Linked DNA regions of Diceros bicornis minor. Each later gene encodes a partner of the first gene's protein in a complex. Links are inferred from orthologs where the notes say so. Each region holds a gene or a part of one and is shown in the gene's direction. Other genes may lie near its edges.

Region 1 (7,645 bases):
CTGATAAGGCTTGCTCTGCAGCCACATCAGCCTCCTGAGCTGTGTTGTTTGTGACTTGCTGGCCACGCCCACATGGGGCCTCAACCCTACCCTGGGCTCTGAGGCCACCCACCCCCAGGCCGGCTCCCAGGAGGCTCGCTGGTCAGACAGATGTGCAGTCAGAGACCTGGGCCTTCCTGGCATCCAGTGGGCACTCGGTAAGTGTCTGCAGAGAGAAGGAATGAGGAGGGGCCTCCTTACCATCCTCACTATCTTGACCCCGTTTTGTCACCAAACCCTGCCTCTGGAAGCCTGCAGGAACTAATTAGCGCTTCTTCCGGATTACCTACATACTGCACCCTTCCATCCCTGCCTTGTCCTTGTCCTCCGTCCTCTGGGGCGTGGAGACAGGGTCTGGCTCCTGTCTCACTTACTGGAAGCAAAGACTGGAGGGCCACGTGGTGGAGAAACAGACAGTGCTCCGCAGGACACAGACAGACTCTTTGGGAGCTGCCCCCTGCCGCCTGGAGACCCTTCAAAGCCAGGCTTGGAGTAGGTCCCTGGCAGCAGGTCCTGGTCACGTGCACAGTTTGAATAATTCAGATTTAAAAAGACCTACTTTCCCGGAAGACCATTTCCTGCTAAAGAGCAGATGTGGCAGGAGCATCTGAATTATGCATCTCGCTCCCCAGGTTTTAATGATGGCCAGGCGCTGAGCCAGGCACGGGGGCAGCCGCCTTCACCCTGGGGCCCTGCTCAACCCTGCAGCTGCTTGGCTGGCCTGGCCCTGGGCTGGCTACTGCTGTTCGTGTGCAGCTCTGGACTCAGGACCACAGGCTGATCTCTAAGCCACTTACCTAGAGACGGAGGGAGTGTTGCTAGGAAATCAAGAGAAGCCAGGGTTCCTGGCTGGCTGGGTGTGAGCTCTCCACAGTTTGGGGTAGCGGGCAGTGGGTCCACCACGGGGCCCTGATTTGTGTCCCACTGAGGTTGGGCCTGGGCAGCAGTGGGAGCCAAAAACTGCAGGAGGCCTGGGTGGAGTGGGTGGTGAGGGGGCAGGGAGGGCAGGGTCCCCAGAGCAGCCTTCAGACCCTTGAGGTCTAAAGGGCCCTTGCCGGAAGCTGGAAGCTCCTGTAGGTTCCTGAGAGCCGATCAAGGCCCAAGGCACATGTCCCCTGGCCTAGGGGTGGGGAAGGGACCCCTGGGACTAACTCTGTGGCCTGTGTGCATTGGAGGGGGATGAGGCCCCAGGCTGTGCAGGGGATTGGGAATAAGTCCCCATGTCCCCTTCTCCTTCCCTCCAGCCTTCCCCTCAACTTTGCCCCTCATACCCGGTCCATAAACACATAAAGGAGGGTTTGAGGCCTGGCCACAGGGCAAGTTCCAGGGAAGGCCCTGACCTTCCCTGCACCCTGCAGACCTACAGATTAGCCAGGGTGCCAGGGCTGCACCCCAAAACCTTGGACAGCTGTGGCAGGCACTTGCCCTGTGGCCCTGGTATAAGTGGGGATGTGCCCTGCCAGGCCAATTGTGGCCTGTGGGACTGGGGAGCCCTGGGCCAGCCCTGCCGGCACACCTGCTGCCCAGTCAGGCCTGCAGCCTGGTGCCCCTCATGGCCCTCGGGTGGGTTTGCCGGGAACTAGGATGGCAGGGTGGGGGTTCTGAGGGTCCCCCAGGCCTCCTGCCATCTCCACAGCAGCACAGAGGTCTCCGCAGAGACCACTCACCCCCCTGCCCACTTCCTTCTGCTCTGCTGTGGCTCTGCCTTCCTTCCCCCACCTTTCACATCCTCTCCCTCCTCCCCTTCCTTCCCTCCTCATTTCTACTTTTCTAAGTCCTGGACTTAGGTAGGCATTGAAGGTTGGCATCAGACCCACTGGATTGGGAGGAATGTCTCTGACCCTGAGTCTGGGGCCTTGGGTCCATCATTTCTGGGACCCACCTGCCAACGCTCAGGACACCCATACTTCTGACTGTGCGTCACCCACCTCCTCCTCGCCAGCAATGGGCAGTGCTGCAGAACCACCCACCTCCACTCCCCGGGCTGCCGGCCCTCGTCCTGGACACAGTAACCATTCTCTTCCAACCGTGCCTGCTCCCCCAGCCTGTGGTCCTCATGCTGAGTTGTGCCCCCTCACTTGGAACACAGAGGGTGGCTCACACCCCTTTCACCCGCCCCGTAAACGTTCCCTGAGGACCCACTGTGGGCCCCACACTGCTGGAGCAGCAGTCTAGGAAGTCAGCAAAACAGCCCGTGAATGAACCATGTGCAGTCCAGGAGTGAGAGCTCTGAAGAAAAGTGAAGCTGAGAGGCACTGGGGAGGTCGGTGGTGGTCGAGGGGGGCCAAGGGAGACTCACTGTGGTGACTGGAGGTTATGGAGGAGACCCTCCCCGGCAGATGGAGCCACAAGGGCAAAAGGCCAGAGCATGGAACGTGGTGGGCTATGTGTGTAGCAGAACAGAGAGAAGCCGGAGTGCAGGACAGAGAGGAGGGCAGAGGGACCTGGAGGTTGGAACTGTCGATGGTTTTGAACAGAGAAATGATATGGTTGACATTCAGTCTTTGCTCAGCTGAGCAAGGTGGACATCCCTGCAGGGGTGAGGACTGTGGTGGCCCAGTAGAGGTGAGAGACCATGCCGAATGAGGAGGGCGGGGTGGAGACTGGTTGGAGATGATGGAGATTGGTTACATGAGGTGGTAGTTTGTGTGTGTGTACATATTCATGTATGCCTATACATACATATGTTCTCTAGCTCTGTCCGCTGGAAGCAATGACACCTTAGTAGCAGTGAGCACATTCAGAGCTTGGATCCTGGCTTCTAAATACCATTCCCAACTAAAAGGAACCAGGGCTCCTTGGAGAAATGGCTGAGTTCAGGTATGGGACTGGGAGGGTCTAAGATGAGCCTGGAGTGTCCTGTGCCAGGAATTGAGAAAGGGCTCCAAGGATGATGGGGACATGTTTGTGGGCTGGTAGGAAAGAGCGGAGTTAAGGGTGGGGACAGGGAGCACAGCCCTCAAGTGGGTGGGAAGGTATGGGCCCAATGCTGGAGTGAAGGGCTGCCCTAGACACACACAGATACACACACAGACACACACACACACACAGAAGAGAAACATCAGCTGCAGCTGGGAAACAGGCTGGGGAAGGCGGGAGGGGTGATAGGGCCCCTTGAGGTTGTGGCCCTGGTTTAAGGGGACAGCTGCATTCTTGGGTGTGTTCTCCAGCCTCCTTTAGCCAAGCCCTGTAGGCTGGAGGAGAAGGGGCCCTGAATTTGATCTAGAAAGGGCAGCACAGGGAAGAAGGGGCAGGAGGCTGAGGGGGTTGGCAGGGTGACTAGGGTTGGGGACTGCAGGCTTTCAGTGAAGAAGTCAGTGGGGTGAGAAGCTGTTGGAAGTGGGGAGGCAGAAGTCAGCTGAAAGATGGAGGTGGTGGGCCAGGGGCTGTTCTATTGACATTCATATTGACATTGACATTGTACAGAAACTACAGGCTGGTGACATCTGACCCATCTCCGTCCCCTTCCCTTTCCCCACTTGGGGGGTCTTCAATCCTCAGCTGTCCAGCTGACTTCTCAGTGGCATTTGCAGGGGTCGACCATCTCTCCCTCCTGATACTTTCCTGTGGTCACACCTCCCTGCCCAGGTGGCCATTCCTGACAGGGGGCCCTGGGCTTGACCACCCGAGGCCACACTTGCCTGCACGGGCCTGAGCTCACTCAAGCCTCACCAGTAACCCCAGGGACTGGCCTTGTCCACGCGGCAGTGGGGCGTCCACCCCACGACCTCGTCCAGCGTGGAACCCGCTGGGCCACCGCCTTACATGAAGGAATTGATCAACTCCGTTGCACCTGCGGGCCTGAGGGTTGGCCTGGGCTGGGCCTGCGCAGGGCACGTGTGCGTGGTGCGGGTACCTGGCATGCGTGTGTGTGCAGGGTGCAGGGTGCCTGTGCGAGTACGGGGTGCAGTATACGGTGTGGAGCGCTTGTGCAGGGTGCAGGGCACTAGTGCATCGTATGGGGTGTCCAATGCGGGGTGCAGAGTGCAGTGCGGGGTGCAGGGCTCCTGTACGGGTACCGGGTGCGGTATACGATGCGGAGCGCTTGTGCTGGGTGCGGGATGCCGGGTGCGGGGTGTATGTACCAGGCGCGTGTGCAGGGTGAGGGTTAGGGGTGCCTAGCGCCGGGCGTGGGTGTGGGGTGAGGAAGGATCTGCCTCCCGCCCTGCAGCCTCCACCTACGTCCGCCTGGCTGGGAACCGAGCGGGTCGGCCCCTCAGGCGCGCAGTCGGGCATGGGAGAGGCCCAGGCCTAGCCTCGGGGCTCCCGGAGCGGGTCCCCGAGGGCGCGGCACGGCCCCTTTAAGCGGCTCGCGCACGTGCGCGGGCCCGGCGCCGGGGTCAGGGGGAGGAGCGCGGGCACGCGCATGCCAGCGCCGGGCCGTGCGCGCGCGCGGCGTGCGCGGTGACGCGGCCGTGGGGTTTCCCGAAGCTGCGGACAGGGGCCGCCGCGCCCATCCCGATGGCTGGAGGCGTCTGAGGGGCGGACGGAGGCGGCGGCGGCGGGAGCGGGCGCGGGCGCGGGAGTGGAGTGGCCGCCGCGGGACCGGACCGAGCCTCGCCGGCGCATCTGCCCGCAGCGCCCGCGGAGCGGCCCGAGCGCGACCACCTCGCGGAGCGGCGGCTGAAGCGGCGGGCGCGGGCGTCAGGGGACGAGGCGCCGAGGTGAGCGCGGCGGCCCCGGCCTGGCCCGGCCCGGCCCCGGCCGCGACCCCGGCGTCTCCCGCCGCCCCGGGTCCCCGCCCGGGCCGCCCCGCCCCGCCCCCACCGCTGCCCGCCGCGTCTTCCTGCCCCGCCCGGGCAGGGTCGGGGGGGTCGGCGGGGCGGGGGTAGGCGGCCCCTGAGGGCGGCGGCGGGCGGGCCGGTCCGGGGTCTAGGCCTCGGGCTGGGGTCCGCTCTGGCGTCTGGGTCCAGGTTTCCGGCCGGGGCCCGGCGTGCGGGGTCCAGGTCCGGGGGCCGTCATCGGGAGGCCGGGCGGGCGGGCCGGGGCCGGGGCGGCGAGAACAAAGGGCGCGGGCTCCCCGGGGGGCGGGGGCGCTCGTCCTCCGCTCGGGAAGGACGCCGCGTTTTAAATGCAGCTTTTCTGGCGACTTTGAAGTTCGGTTTGGTAACGACGCGATGGAGAGGGGACAATGAAATGAGGAAGCTGGGGCCCGGCCAGCGGCCGCCCGCCTGCCCGCGGAAATTCGGGGGGATTTGGGGCAGAAACAAAGGGCTGTGCCGGGAGCACCAAACCTGTAGCGATTCTCGGCTATTTTCGTTTTTACCGAGAAGTGGCAGGCAGCCCCGTGGCGAGCCCGTTCTCGCTGTTTTCTCCCTCGCCCGGTGCGGAGCGTGCGGGCGGGTGGGCTGGGGGTGGCCTGGGGCCCCCCGAGGGCACGAGCAGGGCCGGGCCGGGGTCCCCGCGCCCGAATGAATGGCTCCGAGGCCAGGCCCCGCGACAAGATGGCGCGTCCGCCCCGCTGCCATTGTCAGCCGCGCGCGCCCGGCCTCCCCCTGCGCCCCGGTTGTGTGTGGGGCTCCATGTGCGCTGTTTGTCAGGACCGGGGTGGGGAGAGGAGGGAGCAGCGCGGGTTGGGTGCCCTCCTTCGGCCCCTGGGGCTTTTCGGTGGCAGCGGGGTGGGGGCGGGGGAGGCGTTGTGCTGAAATGCCACCAGGGTGGTGGCTCGGCCATCGGACTTGTGAAAAGCCTTCTCTCTTTCCCTTGCAAATTGATATTTGATTCAAAAGGTGCTCGAACATTTCTTAAGTGCTTTAAATTGCATAGTTAGCTTGCAGAAGCAGTGTGAGCTTTAGCTGCTAAATTCCTCTTTATGGAAGCTTGTTAGGATTGTCAGATTCGTCTACCGCGGGAAGACTGATGTATGAATTTTTATTTTGGGGAGGGAAGCTGGTGGACGTTTACCGTTCAGGAGTACGTTACTGAGTTCATGCGTAAACGATGTAGACATCTTAATCTATGGTTTTGGTTTGGAGAGTATTAGTGGGTTTTTTGTGTTTTCATTTTGCTGCCTATCTGGTAACACAGTGATCTCAAATAATATTTGATGATTAAGCAGTTGCTTATGAGATTGATTATTAACTAAAAAAATATGTAGATTATTTTTCATGATTAGCAAATAAGGTGTTAGGTTTGTGAGAAGTTCCTTTTAACTCTAGATAGTGGACAAGGTCTTTGGAGCATCGTTAGCCGTAAGATTTCTATCTGAGTTCTTTGTTTTCTAATTTGAAGCTGTAGTCTTTTTTGGGGGTGGAAGCATTCTTTATTTGAAAGTAAAGTTTTAGTTTGCATTCTGTTAAGATAGATAGGGTCTATTCTGGACTCTTCCGGAAGGTATGTATTGCAAAAAGAAAGTGAACAGGCAGTTCCTTTTTTGCTTGCTTAATAATACTGAGTGTGTGGCTGGGGACAGAGCTGGTGCCATCAACATGGAAGCAGGTCTGAGAACCTCCACACGGCAGAACTGAGTGGTAGCTTTTGGCTTGATTCAACTCTCCAACAATTAGAGCTGTCCAGAAATGGAGTGCGACTGGAAGGGCCAGAGGCCGATCTTGTCAGGATCCTGTGGGGGAGATTTCCTGCTGCCGAGTGAGGCTGGACTGCAAGGCCTCTGTCATTCCTGAGACTCACTCCCGTGTTACCTGCTTTTGCTTTCTCAGGCATTGTAAGTGCTACAAACTTTTCTTAGAAGGTGAGAATTGAGGAAAACAAAGTTAAGTTTTATGATTGTGCCTGTGGCTCACTCCCCTTTCCCCCTGCTCCGGGGCTAGTGCTAGGGCTACGTTTTATCTTTGGCTGGAGTGGTTGGTTCGAGAGTAAGCCTAGAGAGGACATTGTTCAACTGTGCCCGTTTTGACTCTGAATTGCTACTTTCTTAAGTGAACACACCCACCAGACATGTATGATCTCTGAGTTTTCACTGGAACTGTGTGTATCTCATCAAAGTACTAAGCAGAATGCTCTTTAATGATACCTTAATGAAGATTTCTTTCTACAGATTTCTTTCTGTTTGATATCTTTAGTTAGTTATGTTTTTTGGGGAGTTGAAGTAAATCCTCAGATTTAATTTTAATCTCAAAAGAGATTGAAAAGACGGCCAAAAGGCTGCAGAATAATGTATTGTATTTTTTTAAAGGGTAAAACCTTTTCAGATTTTTTTTGTGCCCAGTAACTTTGATTTCAAAGCTTGAATTAACCTATGTAGACTTTATTTTGACCACTTGAGAAATAGACTGATTTTATGAGGAGTTAATTTATTTCTCAAAGCTTTGTTCTTTTACATTTACTTTGCTAAAAATTTCTATGGCTGTTATTAGTTGGCTTGATGGGGAAAGTTGTATTTCTACGAATAGCTTTGAGAAAGGTCTTCAGGATATAAGACTTATCTACCATCAGTTGGCCTTTTAGCTAATACTTGAATAACACTGATTTTATTTTAGACGTGCAGTATTGGCGTTTATTATAGTTTTTTTATTGTTTTTTTTTTTTCCCCTGTCCAAAAGATTTGGCTCATTTGGTCTGTAAATTGGATTAAATTCTTAGTCTACAGACTTTGGCTTTTAGCATTAGTGGATTGGTAATAGATAGTCTCAATTTTGTTATCTGG
Region 2 (7,634 bases), on another chromosome or scaffold:
GAGAGCCAGGCGAGAAGGGGGGAGAGAGAGAGAGAGTGAGTGAGAGTGTGTGTCTCAGGTGCCCAGGTGTTGGGGGTGTGCCTGCCCTGGGGGCGCCCCGGAGAGCAGAGCACTGCCATGGGCGTGTGGTTGGAAGTCAGGCTCCCTCTTTCCTCCTCCTCGCTTTTGAAAAGGCTTGCCTATGCTCACCTGCTCTTCACAAAGTGAGTCTTGCTTGTACCTTCCTTTCAGGAGTTCGATTTCAGGTTTACTCCCCGTGTTTATAGTTCATCCCCCTCAGAACATCCACGTCTGTGTGTGCAGTTCGGAAGCCGCTTTTGCACAGTGTCTTTCCTGGGTGTCTGGTCACAGGGAAACAAGCAGAGCTGATATTTGGCTTTAACAAGAGTACTCAGCTGGGCTGCTTGGGGAGAGACGAATCTTCCGTTCCATTCTTCCCTCTGGATAGCGCCACTACCTCCTGGGCTTAACCGACAAGCTCCATCTTACTGAAACCAGAGAATAAGGGGTTCAGGGTTGAGCTCACAGCTGACAGAGCTGAAGTGACTACCCTTCCCTGAGGCAGTGACAGCTGAGCCCTTCTCTGTAGGTCACCTTTCTCCTCTCACTCAGAGTCCTCTTTTTTTTTTCTAGGCCCGTACATAATCTTTTCTTACCCTGTACTTACTCATGTCAACTTTAGTTTTATCCAACTCATGCTTAGAGCCATCACCCTAGCGTGCAGGTGCCTTACATTCTAAGAGGTGGACGTGGGTGTCAGTCTGGGTGCATACACAGACATATGGAAGTATAAATGTGGATTTATCCAAGGTGAGAAAGAAAACACCCTGTTTAACAGGTCCAGGTGCCATGTGTCTTCCTGAGAGAGGGCAAGGACAAGTATAGGGGCCACACCCGCCAAGTAGAGATGGTCCCACATTGTGTGGCCTCTCTTGGCACGGAGGGGAGGGAGGACGGCCAGGAGGGCTGTGGTCTCCACTGGCTCAGGCAGCCCACTGTGCCTTGCTTCTCTCTGGCAACGGGAGGAAGCCGGGTTTGGATGGGGTGGTTTCCTTCCCTCTTTCTGTGGACCCGACCAGGGTGGTGGGCAGCCCCATGTGGAGCACAAAGCCCCACCCTGTGAACGGCCCCGCAGCCGGCCTGCCATTCCGAACCTTGACTCTCTAGAGGCTTGTTACAGACTTGGCTTTGAGAAAGATGGCTCTTAGGGTCATGCCAAAGCTGGTGGAAACTGCACCTACTCCCACCCCGTCAGGCCACTTGGTGGTATTTGTGGCCCACGCCTGAAGGAATTGCAAGAGATAGCCCTGTGGCACAGACCCCCCTAGGGCAGTGTGCCAGCACGGGGGCTCCAGGGGACTGTACTTTCATACTACATTTGTTTTCTGAAAAAATCAACGGTAGGCTCACCACCCAGAAAAGACCACTGTGAACATTTTGGTGTATAGCCTGCCCCTCCTGCACACACACACAGTTGTTTCCTTTTTAAACTAAACTGGGAGCATACAACATATACCATTTTGCATCCAGCTTTTTTCACTTGATGATTTTATCTTAAGCATTTCCCCATGTCTTCATATATGAACAATGATTCAAAAACATTGTTTTTAATGATTGTAGAGTTTAATGTTATACATTTTATCATAATTTATCTGACCATTTCCCTGTTGTGAAACATTTAGATGGTTTCTGGTTTTTCACTATTTAAATAATGCTGCGATGAATATCCTTATAAATCTTTGGCTTTTGACTCTGAATCTCCCCACCCCGATTCCTAGAAGTGGTATTTTTGGGTCAAAGAGTTTTGTTAGTTTTAAAGGTGGTGGTAAATCTCTCTTCCTCTGTCTTGATCTGATGCTTAGATGCTCAGAGTTCCAATACAGAACCTTCTTAGTTGTATCCTACAGATTCTGAACACATCCATTTCTGGTAAGCTGTATGTTCCAAAGAATGTTTGAGTAAGACTGCTCTCTCTTTTTTTTAATGCTAAAATGATGTCATTACTGCAGTTCATTTGTGACAGATTCTTCCAAAAGCTAATTTCCTTATTTTCATTGAAAGAATCTGGTTATGCTTGCATCTTAGTTACCTTCCCATCCCTGCTGCTGTGGCTTTCAAGTGCTTGGTAATATTTTCAGAATCTCCTACTTTGTGTCCACAATGGTACTGAATTTGCATCTGCACAGTCAGCAGAGATAAAAAGTGTTGAACTGACCTTGCCACATGCTAGTGGATGATTTGTAGTGAAGTTCATAGACTCAGAAAGTACACTGGGCCATTTGGAATCGGTAAAAGCAAAGGCTCTACTTGAAAAAGAAACCACGTAGACACTTGGGTTTCACACAAGTGTTATTTGTCCCCATGTTCTTCACGTCGTGGGACCTTGTCAGAATGTCTTTTGGGTTCAGTGGAGCCAGTGGCCAGGCTTTCTCACTAGAATGTGACTGTCCTGTGGCCAGGCTTTCCCACTGTGGAGTGGGTCCTGGCTGCTGTGGGTTTAAGGGCTTCTCCCCTCTCCTCACCCACAGTGTCGCAGGTTGCCTAGTTGTCCTCAAGCCCAGACCACCCAAATTTGGTTTCATTCTTAATTTCTCCACTTAAGTTTGGAGTCTCTTGATTCTGAGAGGAAACATGCATGAGAGATTTTTCTAGGTGCCATGCTCAGTGCCACTTAACTCTACCAGAGAGTATGGCTGAATTGTTCAGAATTAGGTCTCCTGCCTTCCTCTGACACCCGAGCCCCTCTCCCCGGCGGGTCCACTGACTACAGAGGCTGCAGCCACTGGGAGAGAGCGGTGAAGGTACTGTTCTTGGAGATGTTGCCCTATACATGTTTTTCCACATTGTTTCTTTTCATATCCAAACCTGAAATGAACTGATGGTGACTCAAGTGGGTGTGGCCCTGGGTTTGAGGCGGCCTACAGGGCAAGTGCCTTAAATCAGGGCAAGAGGCACTCCCAGAGCCTCTGAGGGGCGCAGGCTGCTGGCCCATGATTGCGAGGTTGTAAATCAGGCTGCCTGTGGAGAGTGGGTCTGGAGGGGAAGCCGGTCCAGCAAAGAGCAGTTTTATCTGTAGCTCAGACAGCCGTGGTGGGCAGCTGAATGAGCCTACGTGTATACCTGAATTTTCCCCATAACTCATTTCTTCAATATGAAGAAACACCAAACTTTGTGTACAGAGAACTTTTTACAAAGGCAAACCTTTTTTAGCTGTGTAATCCACCCTGGTCTAACGGTCTGGCTGAATGAATAGGGGTCATTTTGCTGGTGAAAAGCCTCTATCATGATCAGAAGTTTGATTGGACCTTGGCAAATTAAATTCTTGCAGTATTTAGAGCTGCTGCAGCTGTTCCTTAACACAAAATAGGATGAATCAATAAATAGTATGTTAGCTGTCTTTCAGGTTGGTGGCAGGCAGTGAGAACATGTGTAATATTCTCTACCTGGTCTGTAGCTGTAACTGTGATGTACAGGCAAAGCAAAAATTTTAAAAAACTTATGAAAACAAATAATGCAATGATATTAGGATATACACTTTTGTATTTTTATTCTTATATAAGGTTATTTGCTGGCTCTTGTTGGCCTCTAGTTCAGTCTGTGTTATTTAAAATCTAATATATGAATTATTTGGATTGAATTCATGTTCGGGGCCACGTTGTTGTATGTATTGATGTACAGCCTTGAATGTGAATAATTATTGTAAACTATATTTTACAACTTTTTTTCTGGCTTTATTATATAAATTTTCTATTTGGTCAATGATTTAATCATATCATAATTTAATGAATCTGTTTATTCTCTTTTTTTCAAATATTTGTGCTTTAGATGTAGTTACCGGATGATGAATTTTCCACGTATGCTCGGTAGTCTTGTAATAAAAAAGCATGTAGAGTGTAGACGCTCGCTGGTACCGCAGCTCTTCCTTTCGCCGGGGCTGCGGGGCGGGCGTGGTCGCGACTTGGGTTCTGGGCCGGGAACCGGCCGTCCGCGCGCCGCACGCGCGGGGCGGAGGCTGCCGAGCGCTTCTCCACTCGGTCGCCGGTCCCCGCGCTGCTCGCCCGCGTGGGCGCCCTGGGACCACGCCGTGGCCGGCCCGGGCCGGAAGGGGGCACGGCCGGCCGCTTTTCCGGACCGGAACTTCCGCCTCTTGCGTGACGCCGGCCGCGTGGGCGGGACAGAGCTCGAAGGACTATATTAAAGACCGGACGCTTCCGGTGGAGGGGAGCTGTGGCGGTGCTTGCTGGGATCATGGCGGAGAATCACTGCGAGCTGCTGCCGCCGGCCCCGGGCTGCTTCGGGGCGGGGCTGGGGGGCGGCCTGTGCCCCCGCTGCAGCGCGGGGCTCGGCGCGCTGGCCCAGCGGCCTGGCGGCGTGTCCAAGTGGGTCCGGCTGAATGTCGGCGGCACCTACTTCCTCACCACCCGTCAGACGCTGTGCCGGGACCCGAAATCCTTCCTGTACCGTCTGTGCCAGGCCGACCCCGACCTGGACTCGGACAAGGTGAGGGCCACGCGGGCCGGCCACGAGAGTCTGGGCCCTGCCCGCGCTGGGGAGACCGTCCCGCCACAGTTCGGCCCGAGCCCCCGACTCCCTGCCTGGGCCGGGGACGGAGGGGATGGCGCCCTGGCGCCCACTGCCTTCGGGGATCCCCGGCCACGCCACCTCGAGGCGTCTCTGTCTCGTCCTCTCTGCTCTGTGGCGGAGGAGGCTACCCAGACCCCGGACTTTTTTGTGAGTCTGCTTTCTTCTCCTCCCTCGACTCTTTGGCCCCTGGTGTGTGCACACCTTCTCCTCTCCGCGCCGGGGTACTTAGTGGTTCTGGAGTCGCGGAACCCTGGCGCTGTTCTCGTCTGTTCACATTCCGGGCGGTTGACTTACCGTTGGCGTGGGGGGGTTTCACGGGTGGCCTGCCTTTGCCAGTGACTTGCATTTAGAGAGTTGGCGCTCCACCGTCTTCAGCCACAACACTCAGCGCTCTCAGAGGGTGCCATCCATAGAATGATTGTTCAAAGGGAATGCTGCTCATATTAAGGGGTGGCTTAGGGGTGTCAAGGAAGGGCCAGGGGGGAAATCTTTTTCAGTCTGCTTTCTAATTAATTAGCCTAGTTTTCCGACTGCCCTGGCAAAAGGATAGGAATTTCTAGGTTAGTTTGCAGCTTGTCTTTCATCAAGTTTAATGTTCACACTGTTGTACGGGTGGTAATAGAAACTATTTTGGTGATTACCTTTACTTTACAAGACCTGTGTGACCGAGGAAGAGTATCTCAGGCACTGAACAGGATTGAAACTCAGGGAAGGCGTTGTTGGAAAAAGCTATTACTATATTTGTCTTGGGCAATTCACAAGTGTTATTCTAACTTGCCAGGGTCTTTCAGTTGAGCCTGCATAATTGCACTTGGCCTTGTGCCTTGCCACCCCAACATTTGCCAGACATAAGGCTTCCCAGAAAGATTCAGATCTCTCTTCAAGTTCGAGAACCCTGACGGAGACCATCCTCCCTGTGGCATGACCTTATGATCAGGAAATGAGAATTCTTGAGTTACCACAAAACCACCCATCATGGGTAGGAATCAGGGTTTGAGATGCCAGCGCTCTGGTCCCCTGGTGCCGCCGCCCACCCCCCTCAGCTATTTCCATTGCTCATTTGTCTGAGCTCTCCACTCTTAGAGGATTGACCTCCCAGAAAATGACAGTCTTCTCCAGGATAGAAATAGGCTTTTGTCAGTTGTGATTTTTCTTTTATAGTGTGGGTCTATGTTTTACTGTTTTGTTTTTCTTTTTAAACAGAGTCTTAGGGGTCATTCACTTGTATTTCTACTGAAGCGTTCCTGTTTTGTATATTGAGTCAGGTTTTAAATTGTTCTTGTCCGTTGGGTTGTTTGTTTTGAGGCAATGGCTGTCGATTCACCACTGAAACAATTAATACAGAGCCGATAAGCTGTAGCTTGCGCAGTTAAGTCGATTCATCCCTTTATTTTACTGTCTCAGGACTACTTAAAAAATTATGCTTTACTGTAATAGGAGTTCTTTGGGAGAGGGTAATTAATCTATCACAATATATTTATGTTGTAGTTTCTTTTTTTTATCAGCATCCACTTAAATATATTTGATTTCTGAATTGTAAAACTGAAATTTAGATACGGTTTCTGTCTCATAAAATAGTTGATAGTAAATAAGGGTTAATTTTAGTCACAGATAATGTGGATTTGCCAGAAAGAGTAATGCTAATTTGCATTAGTCATGGTAGCGTTTTACTTCAAATGAGAAAATGTAAAAGATACTCGGTCTTCTCAGTTTTTTCCCCCCTTGTTTCTGATAAAAGAATGTCCCAGTGGGGCCGGCCCAGTGGTGCAAGCGGTTAAGTGCGCGTGCTCTGCTGGGGCGGCCCGGGGTTCGCCGGTTCAGATCCCGGGCGCGCACCGACGCGCTGCTTGTCGAGCCGTGCTGTGTTGGCGTCCCATATAAAGTGGAGGAAGATGGGCACAGATGTTAGCTCAGGGCCAGTCTTCCTCAGCAAAAAAGAGGAGGATTGGCATCAGATGTTAGCTCAGGGCTGATCTTCCTCACGCACACAAAAAATGAATGTCCCAGAGATTCACTCCTAGATAGTTAAACCCTGAGTGAGGAGCCTGAGGGTGAGGCTGGAGATATTTGGGGGAGTGGGACGCTAGTATTTACAGGGTGGAAGAGAAACAGGATGTTGATTCACATGTAAAAATCTCCAAGCCCTGACCTCATAGTTAAGATTAATGAGAGCATACCTGGCCCCTATTCCTGGGCTGACTGAGAGCACAACCTGGTGGAAGATTTCCTCCTGGGCATTTGACTAGTATTTATGGAGCACCTGGGCTTGCAGAAGGTGGCCCTTGGATAGGGGTTGGGTAGGGAGATTTAAGGGGGAGGAGTTCCAAGAAATGGAAGACTTGGAACCTTTCAGGAACCTGATGGTTTTGGAGTTCACTGGGAGAGTGCCTGAAGCTTGCTCTTAAACGCAGACTGTCTGGTGGGGAGCTCCATAGGTGGTGAGTGGGAGAGGTGGAGTTATAGGATGCTTTTTGGAGGAGTGCTTTTAAAGCAGTCAACAGACTGGTTGTTAGGAAGGTTGGGGAGCTCGCTTGCCACTGGTTCCCCTTCCCCTAAGTCCTCACGTTCCCTGTCTCAGGACTGAGCCTGGGACCCACTCCCACCAGGCCCCGAGCTCCCAAACCCTTACCCTCTTGTCTCAAGTTCTGACTCTGGGTCCATTGCTGCCAGGAAGTTCTCTTTATAGACAGCCCAAGTGTGAATTCTCACTTCCTCCTGGGGCTTCCTCCAGTGGGCTATGTCTGCGTTATTCATTTCAGCATCTGCTCATTGGCTGTCTAGGCCATTTTTCTCTCCCACATTCCTTTGGGGGCAGGCAGGTGTAATGCTCCTTCCCGGAAGTGCTTTGTAAATACTTGGCGTGTGATTCATTTGGTTATGTCTCTTTGTGTTCCGTGGTACCTGCCCCACAGGCATTTTGGGAAACAGGTTAGAGGTGGTTTAGAGCTGAATCAGCCCCGTGCAGAGGTGCTTTAGGAGTTCAAGGGAAACAGGAAGTTGCCACCGCTTGGTGGTTGGAAAGCACTCAGACTGAGTAGGATTTGGGGGGT
Region 3 (6,555 bases), on another chromosome or scaffold:
TGGACACGTCACAACAGAAGATACACAAATGGCCAATAAGTACTTGAAAAGATGCTCAACATCAATAGTCATCAGGGAAAGACAAGTTAAAACCACAATGAGCTACCATGACACACTAATTACAATGCCTATAACTTAAGACTAATGAACACCAAGGGGTAGGGATGACACAGAGCAACTGGAATGCTCATATGTTGCTGGTGGGAATAAAAACGATACAGCCACCTTGGAAACTGTTTCTTAGCAAGTTAAACAAAAAGTTTACCATACAACCTAGCCGATATACTCCTAGGTATTTGCCCAAGAGAACTGAAAACACATATTCACACAAGGACCTAAGCAACAATATACATAGCAGCTTTATTCACACTAGCCAAAAACTGGAAAAAGAAATGTCCATCAACAGGTGAATAGATAAATAAAATATAAAATATCCATAAAACAGAACACTATTCAGCAATAGAAAAGATGCTATGAGAACACATAATAAGGACCCTAACTGAGGTCAAGGAGGGCTTTCGGAGGGAAGAAGAGAGTATCCAAAAGGAGACTAGGGATTAGCGGGGGAGTTGGAGCGGGTGATGAGAAATGAAGAGCATTTCCGGCAGAGCCTGTTCAAGGGCCCCTGGCAGGAGGAGAGAGGGCACATTCACACAAGCGAGAGCTGGTCTTGCTTAGAGAGCCAGGAAAGACAGGGCAACAGGAGCTAGGCCTGGAAGTTGGCAAGGGCCGTGCCAGCAAGGCCCTACAGGCTTTACTAAGGGTTTTGATATTTATCCTACAGGCAATGAGAAACCTCTGGAAAGCTTTAAAACAAGAGGATGGTATAATTGGCTTGACTTTTTTAAAAAGATCCCACTAACTACAGTGTGGAGAGCTGACTGCCAGGGGAGTGAGCGGCTGTGAGGGAGCTGGTCATGGCCTCCGCTGAATTCCTGGTAACAGATGATGGTGGCTTACACTGAGATGGGATAATGGAGACGGAGAGAAACGGACGGATTCAACAGGTATTTGAGAAGTCTGTTGGGCTGCATTCGGGGGTAAGGAAGATGATCGTGTTAAGATTGACATTAAGATTGACTCTAAGATTACGGCTCAGGGAATGGGGTGGGAAGAGATCCTATTCTCCAACACAGAGAATGCTGGAAAAAGACCTCTCCTTTCACGGAGAAGATCTAAAGTCAGCTCTGGACCCACTGAATTTGAGATGCGTGGGGGACATCCAAATGGCAATGTCTACTAGGCAGTTGGACATGTGGATGTGGATGCTCACAGAAGCCCAGGATGGAGATTCCAAAGTGGGTGTTATGTAAGATGGTAATTGACGCTGTAGAAATGGATGCAACAGACCAGAGAGACAGCATAGGGTGAGGATAGGAAAGAACCTGGAACCAAGTCCTAAGGAACTCCAACTTTTAGAGGATGTGTAGGAAAAGGTGAGATGGCAAAAGCAATTAAGACGTGACCAAAAAAAGGCAGGAAAACCAGAAAAGCATAACATATCAGAATTCAGGGAAAGAGAATGTTTCAAGAAGGGTGTGGAAACTGTGTTGAATGCTAATAAAACAGTAAGAAAATGTCCACTGAATTTAGTACCATAGAGGGCACTGCTAAACTTAGGAAGAGTAGATCCTATGGAAAAAAAGGGGTTAACCCAGATTAGAGTGGACTGAGGGATGATGGAGAAATAAAGAAGTGGAGAAAGTGATTATACAACATTAGATAATGGGCTCAAGTTCCTCCTCCATCAAGCTGGGTTATAATGATGATGAGAGAGCACCGAACTTGAGAGAGACTGTGACAGCTCAGCCCTTGAATTCAGCCCGAGAGGTTGTATTTCCCTTTTCCTGTGACACAGGTGGGCATTATGAACCACGAGTTCAGAAGTTTCTTTGATTATGTGACCTCGTGACTACCATGAACATAGAGGAGGGGGTTCACTGGGGATCTTCAACATGGGTGACACATGACAGTGACATGAGAAAGGCAGGAGGTGGGGGAAGGACAGGTGGCGATAAAGAAACAGTCATGCTCCTCAACACCTGCTCTCCAGTAAGTTTCCGCTTTGCAATTACATCCAGATACTCAGGAATATTTATAGAAAATCATAAAAGCAAAACGGCACAAATAAATTTGGAAGCAAGCAACAGAGAAAGGTCTCTTCCTTCATTCCCCTGGTAATATCTAGGAAGCACATGTGTGTGCAGGGGAAGAAAATAAACGAGAAGATAGAACTCCTCGGTTCTAGAGGACAGCAGAGTGCAAAAGAAAGAAAAGCTAAGTGTGAAGACACCTGGGGTTCTGGGCCACAAAACTAATGACTCAATGAATGAATGAATGAGTACACAATAGCGAATAAGCATAAGTCCTAGGGAAAGAATGGAGATTTTGTGAGTAAGGATAGGGCCACAGACAGCAAAGCAGAGACCATCCCATAGGTCATGAGGAAACCATGTTCCATCTCTGTTTTCTTGGGTGTGTGTGTCAAGAGGACATTGAGGAGCTTCTAACCTGAAGCTTTACAGGTCGAAGGCGGACATAGCCAGAAAAGCACCAGGGTGGCTCAGGGGTTGGGCCCAGCTCACAGGGAAAGGGAACATCCGGGGAAGGAACGGAGCGCCAACCCCCCTATAAAGAGCCGCACAGGCGCGTCGGCCTCCGGAATCCCCGACCTTGCTCGTCAGCTGGCATGTCGGCGCCTCAGCCTCTGGATGTTGCACCGAGTGGCTCACTCTCTATGAAGCTTGGGAGGAGCGACTGCTTCCACTTCGGAGAGTCCACTAGGCTAACACCAGCCCATACGCCTTTATGTGCTCTCTCACTGACGCCCCACAGAAATCCTGGGATGTGAGTATTCCCATCCTCACTCGGCTGAAGAGTAAACTAAAGTTCAGAAAATTGATCTGCCCAAGGCCACCATGAAGAGACTTGGATTTGAGCCCACGTCGCCCAACTCTAAATCCCACGCTCTTTCCACCAGAACAAGATGCAGGCTAGGAGAGACCAATCTGTCTCAGCCGAGAGGGTGGAAGAAACTTGTTGGGGGCTGAGGGCAGGAGACCATACAGAAAGGAAAAAATTGAAGAATAAAAGGAAGTAGGAAACCTCTTTTCTGAAAATGAGTAGAATTACAGAAGAAATCGCCTAGAAAAGAGAAGATAAGATAATCTGACTTGGGAAATGGGAAAAATGCCTGGGACTGAAAAAAATTCAGGAACTAGGGACAGAAAATCTGGGTTTGGAAGTCGGAGCAGGGATCTCTAGGGGGAGAATGGAGATGCTGGCCGGTGCCCTTTGCTTCGGTCTGAGAGGAGCCAGCGCTGGATCACCGACCTTCCCCTCTCTGGTCACGTGACTCGTGCTGGTATAAAAGCTCTCTCCCAGCCAGGTTCATTACAACATTTTCCTGTGTGACATGTGCAGTACCAGTGGCTAAAGCTCTGTTCCCTTCTCCCAGGAGCCTTCAGACTTTCCTTCAGGACGAATCCCAAGAAGCCATCCATCCGGAGCAAAGACAAGGCAAGGCAGCTGGCTCGGTGCTGGCTCTGGGAAGTGAGGCCGGGATGAGAATGGAGGGGAGGTGCTGGGGGCAGGAGGAGGCCTGTCAGAAACTGAATGGGAGGATCACACCCGGAGACAGGAGCAAGTGTGGGGCCAAGGAAGCTCAGACCGGGCATCCACCCCAGAGAGAGGATAGAGGGGCCAGACCGTGTGTGGGCAGCAAGGGTTCCCACCAAATGGAAACTGAGTCACCCCATTGAGGAGAGTTCTGTTTCTAGTCAAAATGCCAGGCTCGGGAGCCGGTTACTGCCTGTGGGCTTTTCTGAATATTCTCTAAAATCTCTTGGGGGACAAGGCCCAAAAGATACTACTGGCTCCCCTTTCCTCCTGCTCCCCGCTCCCTGTGCCTCACTAGCTTACCCTTTTCAACACAGGCGCAGAGTTGTGCTGGACGGGGAGGAGAAGATGGAGGCGAATCTGTGTTCTGCAAAAGGAGAGGAAAACAAGGTGGGGAGATGGGTTGGGGGCTGGGCATTTGCTTCCTGGCGGGTGGCGGGTTCCGTGGAGAGCCAGCATTGGGTCATGGGGCCTGGGTTTTCAGAGCCCAGTTCTCCTGCAAGACATCTTGTGGCTTTCTCCTCAGTGTGATGAGGCTTGCCTCTTCTCTCCACAGGTCTCTGGCTGAGGAAGGGACTTAAGAAAGGTCAGACACTGATAACAGTATCTTCCTGTATCTGCGAGGAGAGAAGGAGAGTGGCTGGGAACCCAGAGGGGGAATTCCCTCAGGAAGCCAAGGGCTGGTCTCCCTGACAGACGCATGACGGCAAACGTAATAACTACTGCCTAATTCCCACCCAAGGCAAAGTCAATAATTGCTCTGGGCAGTTCTGGCAGGTGTGTGAGCTAGCAGTGGTGGCAGCAGAAGGCCCTGGCCCGGGAAGAGGAGCCTGCCAGGGAGGATGTGCACATCCTGAGCCAGAGGAGGGTCTGCAGGCTGTGAGTGGGGCCTCCTGCCTGCCCTTACTCATCGTCTTCCAGAATGGACACGCCAAGCTCCTTGATCTTCACGTTCTACATCATCATCTTCCTCACTGGTCTCCCTGCCAACCTGCTGGCCCTGTGGGCCTTTGTGGGGCGGGTCCGCCAGCCCCACCCCGCTCCCATCCACATCCTCCTGCTCAACCTGACGCTGGCCGACCTCTTGCTGCTGCTGCTGCTGCCCTTCAAGATCATCGAGGCTGCGTCTGACTTCCGCTGGTACCTGCCTCAGGTAGTCTGTGCCACCATGGGTTTTGGCTTCTACAGCAGCATCTACTGCACCACGTGGCTCCTGGCGGGCATCAGCGTCGAGCGCTACCTGGGAGTGGCTTTCCCCGTGCAGTACAAGCTGTCCCGCCGGCCTGTGTATGGAGTGGTTGCTGCTCTCGTCGCCTGGATCATATCCTTTGGTCACTGCACCATCGTGGTCATCGTTCAGTACTTTAACTCAACCCAGAAGGCCACAAATCTAGAAGTTACCTGCTATGAGAACTTCACCCAAGAGCAGCTGGATGTGGTGCTTCCCGTGCGGCTGGAGCTGTGCCTCGTCCTCTTCTTCATCCCCATGGTGATCACCATCTTCTGCTACTGGCGCTTTATATGGATCCTGCTCACCCAGCCCCATGTGGGGGCCCAGAGGCGGCGCCGAGCTGTGGGGCTGGCTATCGTGACGCTCCTTAATTTCCTGGTGTGCTTCGGGCCTTATAACATATCCCACCTGGTGGGGTTTCACACCAAGAAAAGCCCCAAGTGGCGGGCAGAAGCCGTGGTAATCTGTTCCCTCAATGCCAGTCTGGACCCCCTGCTCTTCTATTTCTCTTCTTCGGCTGTGCGCAGGGCCTTTGAAAAAAGGCTGCAGGTGCTGCGGGACCAGGGATCCTCCCTGCTGGGACTCAGAGGCAGAGAGTCGGTGGAGGTGACCAACGGGGTCAGGGGTGTGAGTCCAGTAGACCGAGTGCCAAGTTCTGACTCCGCCACAGACTAGGGATGGGACCTTTGGAGACACTCGGCTCCGTGCGAGTTGAGGAGGCTGGGAGAGGGAGACATGAGGGTCTGTCCCAGATTCAGGAATCCTCAGACCCAGTCCACTACTGGGACTGCAAAAATCTCTCTCACCAGTTTGGTATCCCTTCCTGAATTTTCCTTCTCAAAGGAGCACAGCTCCATGGCAAAAGAAGAAATGGTTAGGCATAGCAGCACTGTTTCGGAAGCAATGTAGCTAATGTCAGTCCAGTCCTTGTGAGGTGGGTGGTAGCTGCGGATGATCGGGCTGAAGCGGAGTCTCAAAGCAATCTTGCTGCAAGCTTTGCAACAACTCCTAGACGCTGGTCTAGCCGTTGATGCTGGCAAGAAGCCAATGGGAGAGAGATGGAAGAGAAAAACTAAGTGAGGTCAAAGGAGACTTGGGAAGGTTCTGAGCCAAGGGACTGGAGGGAGGCCTGGGGGCTTGGACCTCTGAGGATCTAGGTTTGCACTGTACCGACTGGACCTGCTGCTTCGTAAGTATGGTCCAGTCGTCTTCGCGTGTGTATCTGTCTCCCCCATTAAACCGGGAGCTGCTAAGGTCTGGGTCTCGTCTTCTCCCTCCACAGCACCCCACACAGGTCAGGAATAGCGTGGCACCCGCCAGGCAGACGTTGACACTGACTAGCTCAGGACAAGACAACCTGATCTGGCAAATTGAAAACGAAGATTATAAAACTCAGAAGCGCGAGCCCCCGGTTTATGTAACATTTCTGCAGGCACAGGGAGGGCAAACATGAGAGGGAGAAGCAGACTCAGCAGCAAAGGGGGAAGGATGCATCCGAACCACAGCAACATTTTCAGGTAAAGATGTGAGGAGAGGGAGTAAGACAGAATCGTGTTTAGATGGATGGAGAGAGACTGGACTTAGAAAGAGGATGCAGGCTGAGTCCTGCCTCAGGAGTTATCAGTGTATCACAAGGGCTTCAAACACATTACCCTCCTGCTTAGAAACATGCAGTTTTCCCATCATCAAAACTTTTCTTCCTCGAA
Region 4 (7,469 bases), on another chromosome or scaffold:
ATCTAGAATAATGTCTGGCACATAATAGCACACAGTAAATTTTTGTTGAATGAATAAATGAAATGGTAGCTGTTATTTTTTTAGAGTCCCAAGTATAATGTCAAGATGAAAAAGAATGGTACAAGATAAGAAAATTATACCCATATGATTACAAGTTTATTGTACATAAAACAGTGGATTTGTTTCTGAAAAAATGTGTCAAACTGAATGTTTAAATCAGAATATTTAAACTGTGCTAGCAATGTTCCTATTTCAAAGAATCTGTGATTGATTCTCTGTATAAAACAAAGGACTTTTAAAAAATAATTTTGGGGGCTGGCCCAGTGGTGCAGCAGTTAAGTTTGCGTGCTCTGCTTTGGCGGTCTGGGGTTCACGGGTTTGGATCCTGGGTGCGGACCAACTCAAGCCATGCTGTGGTGGCGTCCCATATAAAGTAGAGGAGGACGGGCACGGATGTCAGCCCAGGGCCAGTCTTCCTAGGCAAAAAGAGGAGGATTGGCAACGGATGTTAGCTCAGGGCTAATCTTCGTCACACACACAAAAAATAATAATAACAATTTTCATATTTTTCCCCTAATATAGCCCCTATTAAGTTAAATATTTTGTCAAGTTTTCTTACTTCAAAATATGCTTATCTGTAATGTGTAAAAGCAAACAAAAAGCCTTTGAACTTTAGACTAGTCCATTTTAATTCCAAAATAAATTACCAAGAAACCTAACGGAAACTCTGAAAGACATTAGTGAGATACTTAGGCTACTCTACGTAGTTCTATCCTCCCAACATCCCTCACCTACACCCACAAAAACCAGTGACAACCGTAAACAACCTGACATTTTCGAAAGGTCCCCAGGGGGCAGCATTGCCCCCACTGAGAACCAGTGCTCTATGGATAGAGTACAACTGAGATGCTTCCTGTCTCCCCTTCTCACTGTTTTTGGACCTTAGTTCCTCTGATGGTAGTGCAGAATGGAGGAAGAGGCACAAGGGCAAATATCTTCTACTTAAAGGGGGTATGTTTGTCCCCTGGGTTAGATGTAACTGCTACCTTAGCTTGTTGGTCTATGAACCTTCAGTCCTCCTCTTATATTCTGGTGAGGGTAGGGGTGGGGATGCTTGGTAATAGGGCTAGTAATCTGATCCAGCCCCTCTTAGGACTCCCCATGGAGAGATGGCCCAACCTGAAAGCTGAGAGATGAGCCACCCAGGTGGAGGGTTTGGGGGGAAGCTTGGGGATAGAGAGTAAATTAGATGATGTTATATCTGAATCCTTTTAAACCCTTGACTTCAAAACAACTCTGAGCATTTGGACTCTCCATGCAGACAACATATGCTGCTGTTCTCTGTGTGTCTGGGTGTCCTTGAGGGAAGTGAGAGTTTTGATCCTCGCTCTTTGAATTTTCTCATACAAGACTGGTGGCATTACATTTGGCAAGCATTTTCAAACTTTCTAAGATTCACCTCCACCAAATGAAGTGTGTTTTACTTAAAATGTTATTAAACATGGTGAATCACAGTGTTTTAGAACTAAGAAAGTATTTGTTAATAAAGTGAAGTTAGATGCCTTGCACTTTTCTCTGTCTAGAGGAATATTTATGACATAGGTTGCAAGTGACCTTATCAACCCTTCATGATTCTCTTCTGCATAACAAACAATATACAGGACAATAGGCAGTAATAAGGACATAAAAGTTACGAAAGATATAGATACTCTTGTAAAGGTCCTTACAATCCATAGTGTCTTAGATTTCTTAGAAGCAGAGCCTGAGACAAGGATCTTTGTCCAAGTGATTTCTCGAGGGTGAGCTCTCAGGAGAAACCTCTGAAAGAAGGAAGAAAGCAGGATGAAGCAGAAGGTAGGCAAAGATGTAGTTTCAGAAGCCTAGCTTCATTTTGAACCCATGGGAGGTTCTGGAAGGTTCTCAATTACACCAAGGTTTTCAGCCCAGAGGCAAGTGGTCTGAGCTACTAGAACCGTACTTCAGCCAGCTATTTGCCACAGGTCACCCACAGAGGCCAGTTGAGGGTGTAATCTCTCAGACAGCACCAGTTGAAGTGATTCCCATCAGCCAAGGACAGACCTATGTGGAAGCTTTGCTCTTGGCAGTCAATACCTGCAGCTGCTGGGGGGATGAGTACCTCAGCCTGGAAAGGGAGATCTGGGCAGGGCAGCAACAGCAACGGCTACGCATGGAACTAAAGGAGCCAGTTCTGTCCACATGATATCCTTTCAGAGCCCTTATAAAGCCACCTATTAGCAAGTGACACGTAAGACAGCACAGTCTGAAAGTCTAGAGGTACAGAGTAAGTGAGTAACCCAGCTAACATGTACTGAGTGCTTTCTCTGTGCTATACACTGTTATGCAATCCTTATTCCTCTCAAGAAATCTATAATGTAGATAATATTATTGTTTCTATTTCCTAGTAAACTGAGGCACAGGGAGGTTAAGTAACTTGGTCAGGGCCCCACAGCTAGCGAGTGCCAGTGAATGATCATTGCATTAGCAATAATATGGTAGGGCTTCTCTGGAACAAAGAAAATGAAATTCTAAGCCCTATCTCAAATTAACACCTCTTAGGTTGGGCTCATATTTTAACAAGTTCCTAAAGTGATTCTTATGCACACTGAGATGTCAGAGCCATTGCCAGGTGGAATATGCTTTCCAAAATGGAGAAAAGTCCTGCAAAGGACAATATCAACAGGTAAAAATCATCAGCAGAAATAGATGTTTGTGAATTTTTATAGATAGTCTGAAGGAAGTGAGAAGGAAGGTAAGAATAAAATTGAGAATGGGTTGTCGAATACCAAACAATAATTACACAGGAAGAAATAACCTTTTTGTTGTCATGTTTTTTCTTAAAATAAGAATAGCAAAAATAAAAAGTATAGGAAACACTGACTTCGGGTACCCATAGGATGTTCTTTTTACCTCTGGGCTGGCATATTTAAACATTTATCCCTAAAAATATGCTCAACTACCTCTTTCCCAGAGAAAAATAGGCTATTATAAAATCGAGAAGGGAAATAATGTTTCCTCAGAGGTTTTCGAAATATAAACAAGGAAATATATAAATACAAGTAAATAGGTTAATTGCTGATATATGAGTAGCAAAATATTTTCATGTAGAGGTAAAATGTTAAGTTGTTCTCTGAAATAGCATATAGCCTGAATATGTCTGCTTTCATAAAAATTTATTATTATAAAAATTGGACCAGACAAACAGAAGAGAAAGGGAAAGGACCAAGAGAGGAGAGATTATAAGTATGACGCCACTTGGCTACAATGAAATCTTTTCCATTTCATACAGGTACCACTAGCGACTGAACTGTCTTCCCCATTGCCCATTGATCTAATTAAGGAGAAGAGATTGCTAAGAGTGCAGAAGAGTCTATTCTTTTGCGATGCACATCAGTAGATCAGACTCACTATGTCCACTTTAACTTTCTGTGTTTGCTCATTGTTGCTATCCAATTCATTGTGACAGTTACATACAAATTCTAGCTATTGTTTGGAGAAATACTTCTAAGTAATATGCTAGTTTATTTCTGATTAACAAAGTTGTTTGCTATATTTCTATTCTATTGGTTCATATTTTAATCCACTATTTGTAAAGAACTTATAGTAACACTTTTGTAAGATTCTCTGTTAATACCAGATTATAATACTCTAGTGATTTAGGGGATTAATGGACAGTCCTCAGAATGACCTCAAACTAACTTAAATGGCATAAATCATATGGTGGAGGGCTTTGGAGTTGGAGATGAGGGTTGGAAACCCTAATTTTTACACTGTGCAAAAAACCAGGGAAAAGGCAGAGCTTTGGGTATTTAAGATTATATACTGACTAAACTGACCTCTCCCCAAGAACCTACTAGCAGGTGTTTAGAGTCAAATGCTTGGTTTAATCATATTAGTGAAGATTATAAAGAAGCTTTAAAGTTCCAAGTCTAGTGTGCAGTGCTAGAATTGTTCAGACCATTCATGAGAAATTGATTATCATAGGAAGTAAAAGAAAGAAACAGCTCACTTAGTAAGTTAAGGGCTAAGGGAAGGGTTGGCTAACATTGACTTGAATCAAGTCCAGCAATTCGAACCTATGAACTAACCTTCTACCTTTTTGGTAGGCGAAAGATGCCAGTTATCAATATTGAGGACCTGACAGAAAAGGACAAGTTGAAGATGGAAGTTGATCAGCTCAAGAAAGAAGTGACACTGGAAAGAATGCTGGTAAACTGCTGCTCTCTTTTGAATTTTATTTTAAACTAGAGATACTGTGGCCACCAGGTTAGATGCCGTTGAAGGGGAGCAGAATGTGCCACCCCAAAATATGCGTCTTTGGCATAAGGATTATTTAGGCTGATTACTTTTAAGAAACATCAGCACAGGAGAAGCTCTGAACACCAGGTAAGCAGAAGTTACCCTTTTGGAAGAGACATTTACATTTATAAGGGAAATCTCCATTTGTAAGGGTGTCTCCTGCTCTGTAAGAGAAGGATGACTCTACATCTCTTATCAATGCAGAAGGCTAGGACTTCAATCTGCTTAACAACCTTACTTGTGTTACCTAGGCTTTTCCTGGTCGCCTCCCATAACTGGCTCCCCCACCTCTCAACATCTTCTTTTGTCTTTAGCTGGAGATGGTATTTAAGGTGGTGTTTTGGGCTATTTTGGAGAGTTACTCAGTTTTCCTGGGTATCTCCCATGTGTACAGGAGGTATACATGTTATTAAACTTATGTTTTTCTCCTGTTAATCTGCCTTTTTTATTACAGGGGTGTCTCAGCCAGAACCTAGAAGGGTAGAGGAAAAGTTACCTTTCCTCCCCCACACCATTCACTGAAGAGGCTCAGTGTAGCTAAAAATAAATTGTTCAGATAAAATTAATTGGGGATTGGGACCAGCCCCGTGGCCTAGTGGTTAAGTTCAGTGCGCTCTGCTTCGGCAGCCCGGGTTTGGTTCCCAGACATGGACCTATACCACTAGTCAGCAGCCAAGCTGTGGTGGTGACCCACATACAAAATAGAGGAAGACTGGTGCAGATGTTAGCTCAGGGCGAATCTTCCTCAGCACAAAAAAAAAAAAAAAGAAATTAATTGTGGATTAAGAAAATTAATAATCACAATTATCTCTTGATTTAGACTCTAAATCAAGGGTCTGGAAAACTATTTTCCATGGGCCGAATCCAACCCTTAGCCTGTTTTTGTATGACCACTAAGCTAAAAATGTTTTTACATTTTTCTAGAGTTATTAAAACAAAAAGGAAGGAAAGAAAGAGAAAATGAGGAATATGAGACAGAGACCATATTTAACAAAGCAATAAAATGAAGCAATGTAAATAGGCATTTTGTTTTTACTCCTCTAAATTGATAAGCTTCTCTTTATTTGATTTATTTGATATGGTTCAAATACTTTTAGCCAAGACCTCATCCCCTTCAGCACTGTCATGGCCAGTAATGAATGAGCACATTCTATTCCTTCTTTGCTAGTAAAAATGAGTTCAAGCCCAAGAACTCACTTGTTCCCCCTATAAACATCTGACAGATGTTAGAAATGGTTACCAAGAGTTCTCTGCCATTGGAAGGAGCAGAAACGGCAAAGAAATAAAAGTTTCCACCAAACAAAATGAAGCTTGGAAAATGTAGATATATACTTTAAATCTCTTCACTTTAGGAAAGTTAGTAGAATAAAAACTCCTCCACAAGTGATAAGAGTATATTTTATATTTTTTTAAAAACTCATTTTGCTTTATCAGGCCAAAGCAAAAAAAGGAGTTTGCATTATCTTCATACTTTGCTCAAAACCCTTGCTCCCAATAAAAATTGGAATTCTGGCTTCTTTTTATGTTTATAATTGTCTCAAACTTCCCCACTGCCCTTTCCGTACAGACAAAACATGTTTTGCTGTAAAGATAAAGTTAAATCTATAAACAGCACAAAAGCTTGAAATACACACCCGAAAGTTAAAATCCTTATTTTTATAACTTGGGGAAAATAAAACAAACTTTTGGGATAAAGGAGAGTTATTTTTTCTTCTTTACTTGAAACTTCCAAAAGCTGTTTTATTATTTATATACTCAGGATTGTTGTTTTGCAGGCAATTTGGTTACCTTTATGTCTATTATTCACTTGTGGCAAGTTCACCTGGGAATTTTTATTTTGGGTAAACATCATATACATCACCATCTGTCAGGTTTTTGGGTTCCTTTTCCCTGTTACTCAACGTCTCCTTGCTCTTGGAAGTCAAATTAATTTAATATCAGACTGCCAAAACCACACACACACACACACACACACACACACACACACACACACAGAACTTCCAGGTCCTGAACCCATAGCTCTGACGCAGGATGGCGTAATGTCATTACAGTATGGTTAAGTGGATAGACGCTGGAACCATACCCCTGGTTCAGATTCTGGCTGCACAACTTCCTCCCTGTGTAACATTCACCTAAGTTATCTAATCTACCTGTGCCTCTGTTTCTTCTTCTGGAAATGGGAATAGTAACAACATCTAATTCAGAGGGCAATTGGGAGAAATAAATGGGATAACATATATATATCTCTGAGAACAGTGCCTAGTACATAGCAATTGCTTTCTACCATTATTATTAATTTTTAAATTATTATTGATATCTGTGAACCAGACTGGTTCATAATATGCCTCAACTCGATTTCGCTGTCGGCACTAGTACTGTCAGAGTAAGACAACTCTTTGCACCCAGTTTCTAAAGCTGACAGATTTGCAATGACTATAAGTCAATGTAATAGGCAAAGACTAAAGACAATCTTTGTAGTAATAGCTAAAAATAGCTACCATTTGGTTGAGCATCTATTGTAGGCCAAGCACTTAATGCAACCAGTGTTGCTTTTCCTATTTCATAGATGAAGTAATTAAACCTTAGATGAACTATCTAAACTAAGGATACATGCGCAGCTGGTAAGTGGGCAGAGCTGAAATTCAAACCTGGGATGACCCGAATCCAATGTCCATGCTCTTGCCACCATGCCATGTAATCCTGTATTAAACTATATACACTTATGATAAGCCTCCCTGAAACAGCTTTTTTTTCCTCAGAAAGATTGGCCCTGAGCTAACATCTGTACCAATCTTCCTCTATTTTGTTTGTGGGTCGCTACCACAACATGGCCACTGACAAATGACATAGGTCCGCGCCTGGGAACCGAACCCCCGGCCGCCAAAGCAGAGTGCACCGAACTTAAACACTAGGCCATGGGGCCAGGCCTTGAAATAATTTTTAAACACATACACTCACATATGATTTTAGGTAATTTATTGCTCCTCAGATCCTCAGATCCTAGCCAGACACTGTCAAAACCAAGCCCTCACTGACTCTTGAATAAGGACAGCAATTTAAACCTCTGTGCCTGACATCTAGTTGTGGCCAAAAGAGCTGGTGTCTGGAGAAGGGGAAAAATAAATGAATGTAAATCTCAATTTTGAATTTCA

What was found.
Region 2: the proteins of GNB1 (region 1) and KCTD5 are in contact, whole or in part, in a cryo-EM structure (PDB 8U7Z), measured with the Homo sapiens proteins. The link is inferred for Diceros bicornis minor from reciprocal best matches to the Homo sapiens genes GNB1 and KCTD5. Residues at the interface, in NP_001269468.1 of Homo sapiens: Arg52, Gly53, Leu55, Lys57, Tyr59, Gln75, Asp76, Gly77, Lys78, Thr87, Asn88, Lys89, Val90, Ala92, Pro94, Leu95, Arg96, Ser97, Ser98, Trp99, Met101, Leu117, Gly131, Asn132, Val133, Arg134, Val135, Thr143, Tyr145, Gly162; in NP_061865.1 of Homo sapiens: Val157, Arg159, Val160, Leu161, Gln162, Cys163, Gln164, Glu166, Glu167, Gln170, Met171, Thr174, Met175, Ser176, Asp177, Trp179, Ser190, Tyr191, Val205, Lys207, Leu209, Glu219, Ser221, Lys223, Ala224, Leu227, Gln228, Arg230, Gly231, Ser232.
Region 3: the proteins of GNB1 (region 1) and FFAR2 are in contact, whole or in part, in a cryo-EM structure (PDB 9CM7), measured with the Homo sapiens proteins. The link is inferred for Diceros bicornis minor from reciprocal best matches to the Homo sapiens genes GNB1 and FFAR2. Residues at the interface, in NP_001269468.1 of Homo sapiens: Arg52, His54, Leu55, Asp312, Ser334, Phe335; in NP_001357016.1 of Homo sapiens: Arg37, Gln38, Pro39, Gln40.
Region 4: the proteins of GNB1 (region 1) and GNGT1 are in contact, whole or in part, in a cryo-EM structure (PDB 7L0P), measured with the Homo sapiens proteins. The link is inferred for Diceros bicornis minor from reciprocal best matches to the Homo sapiens genes GNB1 and GNGT1. Residues at the interface, in NP_001269468.1 of Homo sapiens: Leu30, Ile33, Thr34, Ile37, Val40, Ile43, Met45, Arg48, Arg49, Trp63, Ser84, Tyr85, Thr86, Phe235, Pro236, Asn237, Asp254, Arg256, Ala257, Gln259, Leu261, Ser279, Lys280, Ser281, Gly282, Arg283, Leu284, Leu300, Asp323, Gly324; in NP_001316355.1 of Homo sapiens: Met31, Val33, Lys35, Cys36, Cys37, Glu39, Val40, Arg41, Tyr43, Val44, Arg47, Ser48, Asp51, Pro52, Leu53, Val54, Ile57, Asn62, Pro63, Phe64, Lys65, Glu66, Leu67.

The regions. Positions count from the first base shown.
Region 1 is NC_080752.1:22,670,644-22,678,288, reverse strand, and holds the start of GNB1 (guanine nucleotide-binding protein G(I)/G(S)/G(T) subunit beta-1), read left to right. Parts: upstream 1-4,562; 5' UTR 4,563-4,703; intron 4,704-7,645. UniProt on the Homo sapiens protein: Guanine nucleotide-binding proteins (G proteins) are involved as a modulator or transducer in various transmembrane signaling systems.
Region 2 is NC_080765.1:45,803,011-45,810,644, reverse strand, and holds the start of KCTD5 (BTB/POZ domain-containing protein KCTD5), read left to right. Parts: upstream 1-4,233; 5' UTR 4,234-4,248; coding exon 4,249-4,500; intron 4,501-7,634. UniProt on the Homo sapiens protein: Its interaction with CUL3 suggests that it may act as a substrate adapter in some E3 ligase complex. Does not affect the function of Kv channel Kv2.1/KCNB1, Kv1.2/KCNA2, Kv4.2/KCND2 and Kv3.4/KCNC4.
Region 3 is NC_080773.1:9,227,547-9,234,101, reverse strand, and holds FFAR2 (free fatty acid receptor 2), read left to right. Parts: upstream 1-4,540; coding exon 4,541-5,524; downstream 5,525-6,555. UniProt on the Homo sapiens protein: G protein-coupled receptor that is activated by a major product of dietary fiber digestion, the short chain fatty acids (SCFAs), and that plays a role in the regulation of whole-body energy homeostasis and in intestinal immunity.
Region 4 is NC_080742.1:31,204,683-31,212,151, forward strand, and holds the start of GNGT1 (guanine nucleotide-binding protein G(T) subunit gamma-T1), read left to right. Parts: upstream 1-4,131; coding exon 4,132-4,227; intron 4,228-7,469. UniProt on the Homo sapiens protein: Guanine nucleotide-binding proteins (G proteins) are involved as a modulator or transducer in various transmembrane signaling systems.